Linked DNA regions of Kluyveromyces lactis. Each later gene encodes a partner of the first gene's protein in a complex. Links are inferred from orthologs where the notes say so. Each region holds a gene or a part of one and is shown in the gene's direction. Other genes may lie near its edges.

Region 1 (4,321 bases):
GTGTTTGATTGTACATTATCGGTGGTACTTGTTGGAATTGTTCCTGAGGGTTAACAGGTTGATTAGGAAATCCGGCATTACCGAATTGATTAGGGATAACAGGGGGAATATTTTGCCCAGGGAATTGCTGGTATTGACCTTGAGGGAACCCTTGTGGAATAAAGCCGTAGCCAGGGTTCTGCGGAGGTTGCATACCATAGAATCCAGGTTGAGGCGGCATAGCCATCTGTTGTTGTCTGTCTAAAGATTGAATGGCCAATCCTTCCACATTAGGTGCACCTTGCTGTTGAACCTGTGGTGGGGCTTGGAATTGTGTAGGGGCTTGAGGTTGCACCTGTTGTTGCTGATTACCGGAGCTGTTACCCCATAAAGATTCCATAGGTTGCATGTCCAGCGATTGTTCGAAACCAGGTTTACAGTCTGCTTGTCTGTTCATTTTGGCATTTGCAATAGATGCATAAGAAACAGGAGCTGGTGCTGGTGCCCTACCAGAACCTGAACCAGCGCCAAGCTCCCCTTTACCGTAACCAAAATCAAAATCTGTACCCAGATCCGCTCCAGTACCAAAAGTTTCATCATTGAGCAAATCATCTTCCTCTGGCTCATAATCACCCAAGCCTTGATACGTTTCTTCGAAATCTAAAGAATCCTCCTCGCCTTGCTGTTTCCTCTCACGAGGTTTTCGGCCCGTGGCGTCAAAACCGAAGAATGACATCGTTCAGTGATTCAGGAATATAAGGACTCCTATACTAATTGGGCAAAAATCGATTTCTAGATCAGAATTGTCGACAAATCCTATTATATTCTCTTAAAAACACAAGTAATGTGATTTAAGTCGCTACCTGCCTGCGTTTCGTTCAAGCAATCTTCCAACAAACGGTCTCTGAATATCTCTGATCACTTATTTTTGAGCATAGAAACTACTTTGCTTGTTAAGTGAATTACATTTTTGGGTTGTTGTTTGATGAAAAATTTCACCGTGCAAGATGATATACATATTAAGGATTTCTAGTTCAAAATTTGAAATTCAGGTCATGTGATTTCAAATATTTGACATTTTTCAACATGGTAGTTTAGAAAGTTCCAATACAAACTCGTACGTAGTCTTTCTTTCCTTCATTAGCAGCATATATAAAGTGATTGCGAATAGACAAAGATGACATATACTACTAACATCCTAGGTACAGCTATCTGGAAAATATATCAGCTTAGCAGTTTAGTCTTAAACCTAAGTAATAAAAGATATCTGATCTAATAGCAGTGACCAAGTTCTAATAATTTTAATCTGATTAGCAGTGAAAATACTGATTTGTATGAAGATCTGAATCAAGTATAGTGCTCGAAAAGAATCAACTCAGACTGGTAAAGTGGACTTAACTGCAACTTGGAGAGTACGAAATATCTAAACTATAATCTTGGATTTGATACTAGAAAATGAAACAGAGATTGAGTTCGTTAGATTTGCAACTGATATCCAAAGAGTTGGAGAATCAAATTGTAGGATTTCGCTTAAGAAATATCTATAACATTGCTGACTCAAACAGGCAATTCTTATTAAAGTTTGGAAAACCCGATTCCAAGTTAAACGTTGTCATTGATTGCGGATTGCGAGTTCATACTACTGACTTTACCAGGCCGATTCCCCCGACTCCTTCGTGGTTTGTTTCCAAATTGAGATCGTATTTGAAAGAAAAACGATTGACGGCAGTTAAGCAGATCCCAAATGACAGAATAATTGTGTTTACTTTTGCTGATGGTAAGTACTACCTTGTTTTAGAATTTTTCAGTGCCGGAAATGTGCTTTTATTGGATGCTGACCAAAAAATTCTTTTACTACAGAGAGTTGTCGATGATTATTCGATGAAAGTTGGTGAATTTTATGACATGGCCAACTTTGCAGAAATTAACCAAACTTCAACTACGGTTCCTGATCCTAAGGAATATTTCGAAAATGAAATAGCAGATTGGTTGAAAGAAGCCGACGTTAAAGCCAAAAGCACAATTGTGCCCGGAGAGGCTAAAAAAGGTAAACTCAAGGGAAAAGCATCTGTTCCGTCTATTCAAAAACTTTTATTTGTTCATGCTCCACATTTATCAAGTGATTTGATTCAAAACTCGTTGAAAGCTATTGGTATTGATCCATCTTCTTCGTGTCTTGAGTTTAAACACAATGTCTCTGTGCTTGTTGACTTAATGTCCTCATTAGAAGTTCAAGCAAATAAATTGATCTCGACTACGTCAACAAGAATAGGTTATATAGTGGCTCATAAGAACAAACTGTACGATCCTTTAAGAGACAAGCCGGAACTTGAATACACTTTTTCAAATTTCCATCCCTTCAAACCCTTTGTAGGAGATTCCACTGACGTCAAAATTATCGAAATCGGCGGAATGTACAATAATACCGTAGACACATTCTTTTCTACAATAGAATCAAACAAATATGCTAGCCGTATCCAAAATCAGGATTTCCAGGCTCAAAAAAAATTGGATGAGGCAAAGAATAACAATGAAACTATTATAAAATCGTTATTACATGCACAACAAACTAACGAAGAAAAAGGAAACATTTTGATAGCTAATGCAAATTTAGTAGAAGAGGCCAAGAATGCAGTTAAAAGCTTATTGGACCAACAAATGGACTGGCAAAGTATGGAAACTTTAATAGCAAACGAGCAGCGGAAAGGCAACAAGATTGCTCGGATCATTAAGCTGCCAATGGATTTACCAAATAATAAAATTACCATTGAATTACCAAAAGATGGGTACAGCGAGGATGATTCTACTGAACATCATCAGTCAGAAGCTGATTATTCATCAAACGAAAGTGATGTTAACCAATCAGATTCCTCTGTCTCATCGGATTATTCTGATTCTGATTTTGAAGAACTAACTTCATCCAAAAGTAAACAGCAAAGTAGAAGAAAATCCAAGATAACATCAGAGAAACGGGAAACTGTTCTGCTGACAGTCGATTTATCTTTATCGGCATTTGCAAACGCCTCCAGTTATTTCAACGCCAAAAAGGCGACATCAGAGAAACAAAAAAAAGTTGAGAAGAATGCTGAAAAGGCTTTAAAAAGTATCCAGCAAAAGATCGAAAAAGATCTACAAAAGAAGTCAAAGGAATCTCATGATATCTTGAAAGCAATTAGAACTCCATATTTTTTCGAAAAATATTACTGGTTTATTTCTAGCGAAAGTTTTCTCGTACTGATGGGTAAGAGTCCCGTCGAAACTGATCAACTTTATGCAAAGTATGTTAATGACGATGACATTATGGTCACCAATGCATTTGACGTGAAGGCTTGGATTTTGAACCCTCAGAAGACTGAAGTACCACCAAACACACTAATGCAAGCTGGTACTTTTGCAAATTCTGCAAGTGATGCATGGTCAAAAAAGATTGCATCCTCTCCTTGGTGGTGTTTCGCTAAAAATGTAACGAAATTTGACGACATTGATGGCAGTGTTCTTCCAGTTGGATCATTTAGAATGAAACAACCTAAAGCTAAAAACATGTTGCCACCAGCACAATTAGTGATGGGATTAGGACTTGTGTGGAAAGTAAAGACAGAGGATAGCGAGGAAAAAGAGGGTGAGTATGAACAAAATAGTGACTTAGAAGCATCTGACGATGATACAAGTCATACTTCTCAGCCGGAAACAAACCCAGTCGACCAAATTGATAATAATGTAAACGTTATTTCAAAAGAAATTAATGATCTAGGGTTCGATGTCAACAATTTCGATGAAGTGGCTTTAGCAGGAGAAGAGGCCACTGATGGGTACGAGAAACTCTCAAATAGTGATTTATCCAAAGGTGAAGAGGATTTTGATGAGAGTAAGACTATAGCTACTTCAATTGTTGAAAATATGAATACAGCGGTTCGTGGTAAGAGAGGGAAATTGAAAAAAATCCAAAAGAAGTACTTTGACCAAGATGAAGAAGAAAGATTATTGAGACTAGAAGCACTTGGAACATTAAAAGGTATTGAAAGAGAGAAGCAAAAAAAACTTGAAGAGATGGAAAGAGCCGAAAAGAGGGAGTTTAAAAAGCGGATACGTAAAAACCAAGAGCAAACTCGCATCTTGCAGTTTAACAAATCAGAAAAGGTCGAAGTTGATATTCCAAAATTTTTGAATCAATTGAAAACCGGTATTTCCAAAGATGATAAAATAGCTGACGTTATCCCTGTCTATGCCCCCTGGGCTGCTTTAACTAAAAATAAGTATAAAGTCAAAATACAGCCTGGCACTGCAAAGAAGAGCAAATCTATTAATGAAACTCTACATTACTTCTTGAATAGAACTGTCGACA
Region 2 (4,405 bases), about 2.0 Mb from region 1:
CATTAGTTGGAATGTCGTGCCCTACATTAGTACGAGAACCACTCCGAATCATGATTCTCATGTCGTGTCACCAACTATTCTAGTTTTCTAGAACTTGGTTTTTTTTTATATCATAAGAACATATATATAAGGGCCAATACACAAATGTATAATGATGAAAAAAGACTGAACTCCAATTAGTTGCAGATTCTCCAACATTTTCGCAGTCGAAAGAAATATTGCAATAAGTACCGATACGTGTGAATTCAAACGTTTAATAAGCCGATACCAATGAGTGCTGTTGCCCACGACGCTGCTTGTATTTTCTGCAAGATTATCAAAGGTATGTAAACCTCAAATTGTTAGGTGAGAACAAATATCTGTTTCTCCCCTTGGTTTTTGCATGCTCGCAACCACCCAAGTGGCTTAGACTAGCTCTTTGATCTTATGAACTATAATACTAACAGATTCCACTACTGGTGTACTTTCAGGTGAAATCCCTTCTTTCAAATTGGTTGAAACTCAGTATTCTTACTCGTTCCTTGACATCCAACCAACTGAAGAGAACCACATTCTTATCATTCCAAAGCACCACGGTGGGAAATTGCACAACATCCCAGATGAATACTTAGCTGACCTGTTGCCAGTTACTAAGAAGTTAGTGAAAGCCATTGGCTTCGACCAAGATGGTCCTGATGGTCCAGGGTACAATGTCCTTCAAAACAACGGTAGAATAGCCCATCAAGAAGTAGATCACGTGCATTTCCATTTGATCCCAAAGAAAACAAAGGATGCTGGATTAATCGTAGGTTGGCCTGCACAGGAAACTGATTTTGCTAAGCTGAGTGAAATGCATAAAAAGTTGCTTGCCAAACTAGAAACCTAAGCGCGATCTTTTTCGCAATGAAAGAGACCAAGATATGACGAAGATGACGAAGCTGACGAAGCTGACGAAGCTAACGAAGATGATCATTGAGATCGTCTCATATATATTATAACTACATATTTCCTACTGTACCAATTTCTACTTACCATTCACATAAGGAATCCAATAGCTCATTCGCATTGTGGGAGGGATCTTCTTAGAGAGGAGATGAAAAAATATTGTTACCCGGCCGAAATTTCACATATCCGGTGGCAAATTCTGAAATCTCTAGATTATAAAGAGGGAAGCGATTTATTATATATAAGTATTGCACACTATTTTCGGTGATCCTTGAAGGTTATTTTCAGGATTAACACCAGTAAGTGAACGCTAGATTAAATAAAGCACTCACCAGGGATTTACAATAATTGTCTCCTTTAATTGAATCATTGAATCACCAGATTAGGGGTTAGATCAAGTTATTTAATTTTTGTTTTATCTTCCGTCTTTTGGTTGAAATAAGAAGAAATAAGGTCCAATTTCAGAAGTTAATCAAGAAACCTGCATATCCTGTTTACCAAGAGCTTAATTACATCGTGGATCCTACCAGAAGGAATTACAGTATCTTTAAAACAACTTTTCACCTCAGTTATTAAGAGAACATGCCAGAAGAACATAAGAAATTGTTAGATAGTTCTGGCACTGCAGCTGACGCAGATGATGCTACCGCCACTGCCATCTTGAGAAGAAAGAAGAAGCAAAACATGTTACTGGTCGATGATGCAGTTAACGATGACAATTCTATCATTGCTATCAATTCTAACACTATGGATCTTTTACAATTGTTCCGTGGTGACACCGTTTTAGTCAAGGGTAAGAAGAGAAAGGACACCGTTTTGATTGTTATGATTGATGACGAACTGGAAGATGGTGTCTGTAGAGTAAACCGTGTTATTCGTAACAACTTGAGAATAAGACTCGGTGATTTGGTCACTATCCATCCATGTACCGATATCAAGTATGCTTCCAGAATCTCAGTGTTGCCAATCGCTGACACCATCGAGGGGTTGACTGGTAATCTATTTGATGTGTACTTGAAGCCATACTTTGTCGAAGCTTATAGACCGGTTAGAAAAGGTGACCACTTTATCGTTAGAGGTGGTATGAGACAAGTAGAGTTCAAGGTCGTAGACGTTGAGCCTGAAGAGTACGGTGTTGTTGCCCAAGATACTGTCATTCATAGTGAAGGTGAGCCAATTAACAGAGAAGATGAAGAAAATAACATCAATGAAGTCGGTTATGATGATATTGGTGGTTGTCGTAAGCAAATGGCTCAAATTAGAGAATTGGTCGAATTGCCATTGAGACACCCACAACTATTTAAGGCCATTGGTATCAAACCTCCGAAGGGTATTTTGATGTACGGTCCTCCAGGTACCGGTAAAACTCTAATGGCCAGAGCTGTGGCTAACGAGACAGGTGCATTTTTCTTCTTAATCAATGGTCCAGAAGTCATGTCCAAGATGGCTGGTGAATCTGAATCCAACTTGAGAAAGGCTTTCGAAGAAGCAGAAAAGAATGCTCCGGCCATTATTTTTATCGATGAAATTGATTCTATTGCACCAAAGCGTGACAAGACTAACGGTGAAGTGGAAAGAAGAGTCGTTTCTCAATTATTGACTCTAATGGATGGTATGAAGGCTAGATCCAACATCGTTGTCATTGCAGCCACCAATAGACCCAATTCTATCGATCCTGCTTTGAGAAGATTCGGTAGATTTGATAGAGAAGTCGATATTGGTGTTCCTGACGTTACTGGTAGATTGGAAGTCTTACGTATTCACACTAAAAATATGAAGTTGGCTGACGACGTCGACTTAGAAAAGTTGGCCGCTGAAACCCATGGTTATGTTGGTGCTGATATTGCCTCCCTATGTTCTGAAGCTGCTATGCAACAAATTCGTGAAAAGATGGACCTAATTGACTTAGATGAAGACGAAATTGACGCCGAAGTGTTGGACTCATTAGGAGTTACTATGGACAACTTCAGATTTGCATTGGGTAACTCCAACCCATCCGCATTGCGTGAAACCGTTGTAGAATCTGTTAATGTCACATGGGATGATATCGGTGGCTTGGATGAAATTAAGGATGAATTGAAGGAAACCGTCGAATATCCAGTCTTGCATCCAGATCAATACACCAAGTTTGGTTTGTCACCATCGAAGGGTGTGTTGTTCTACGGTCCTCCTGGTACTGGTAAGACTTTGTTAGCTAAGGCTGTCGCCACCGAAGTGTCTGCTAATTTCATTTCGGTCAAGGGTCCTGAGTTATTAAGTATGTGGTACGGTGAGTCCGAATCCAATATCCGTGATATTTTCGACAAAGCCAGAGCTGCAGCCCCAACTGTCGTTTTCTTAGATGAATTGGACTCCATTGCTAAGGCTCGTGGTGGTTCTTTAGGTGATGCAGGTGGTGCATCTGACAGAGTGGTTAACCAATTATTGACCGAAATGGATGGTATGAACGCCAAGAAGAACGTTTTCGTTATTGGTGCCACTAACAGACCAGATCAAATCGATCCAGCTATTTTAAGACCTGGTAGATTGGATCAATTGATCTACGTTCCATTACCAGACGAAACAGGAAGATTATCTATTCTATCAGCCCAATTAAGAAATACACCATTAGAACCAGGACTAGATCTAAAGACCATCGCTCAAGCTACACAGGGATTCTCTGGTGCAGATTTATTATATATCGTACAGAGAGCTGCGAAGTTTGCCATTAAAGATTCCATCGAGGCACAAAAACGTGCAGAAGTTGTCAAGAAAGAAGAAGGTGCAGAAGAAACCGAGAAGGTCAAGACAGAAGAAGACGTTGAAATGTCAGACGTTCAACAAGAGGATCCAGTTCCATTCATTACCAAAGAACACTTCACTGAAGCTATGAAAACAGCCAAGCGTTCTGTTACAGATACTGAGCTTCGTCGTTACGAAGCTTATGCTCAACAGATGAAGGCATCCAGAGGACAATTCGGCAACTTCTCGTTTGGTGATGATTCAGGTGCTGCCGCAACTCAAGCTGGTGCTGAGGGTTCTGGTGCAGCTTTCGGAGATGCCGCTGGTGAAGATGACGATGATTTGTACAGTTAGATACATAACCTTCACAAAACATAACAGGTCTTTTTCGATGCAAAATGAAATGTAATAAATTACAATACAGAGGAATACTTGTTGCTAAATTTACGTAGAGATTAAATATTATCTATTAATCACGTGTAACAGGATATTTGAGATAACTGGTTTTAATATGGTTAAAAGATTCATCAGTCTTAGCTATCCCTTCCAATTTTGGGTCTTGAATTCATCTTTAATTCGACCTAGTAGTGCAATGGTATATTTTCGCCAGGCAAAGCAATACAGGGTCTCCGAAGTAAAACCAAATTATATTAATGAATACATATATGTGCGAGAGTATGTACGTTTGAATGAAATAGAAAGTTGAGAGAAAGAAATGCAAATACCAAATAGTCACCTACGTGCTTCAATGTGTTGGCAA

Evidence for each region.
Region 2: RQC2 (region 1) and CDC48 share a complex: the UniProt entries of both Saccharomyces cerevisiae proteins name them as parts of the ribosome quality control complex. The link is inferred for Kluyveromyces lactis from reciprocal best matches to the Saccharomyces cerevisiae genes RQC2 and CDC48.

What each region holds. Positions count from the first base shown.
Region 1 is NC_006042.1:2,527,342-2,531,662, reverse strand, and holds the start of RQC2 (Rqc2p), read left to right. Parts: upstream 1-1,434; coding exon 1,435-4,321. Other genes in the region: deadenylation-dependent mRNA-decapping factor PAT1, read right to left, coding at 1-715. UniProt on the Saccharomyces cerevisiae protein: Key component of the ribosome quality control complex (RQC), a ribosome-associated complex that mediates the extraction of incompletely synthesized nascent chains from stalled ribosomes as well as their ubiquitin-mediated proteasomal degradation.
Region 2 is NC_006042.1:553,000-557,404, reverse strand, and holds CDC48 (AAA family ATPase CDC48), read left to right. Parts: upstream 1-1,506; coding exon 1,507-3,999; downstream 4,000-4,405. Other genes in the region: HNT1 (adenosine 5'-monophosphoramidase), read left to right, coding at 271-322, 471-865. UniProt on the Saccharomyces cerevisiae protein: ATP-dependent chaperone which probably uses the energy provided by ATP hydrolysis to generate mechanical force to unfold substrate proteins, disassemble protein complexes, and disaggregate protein aggregates.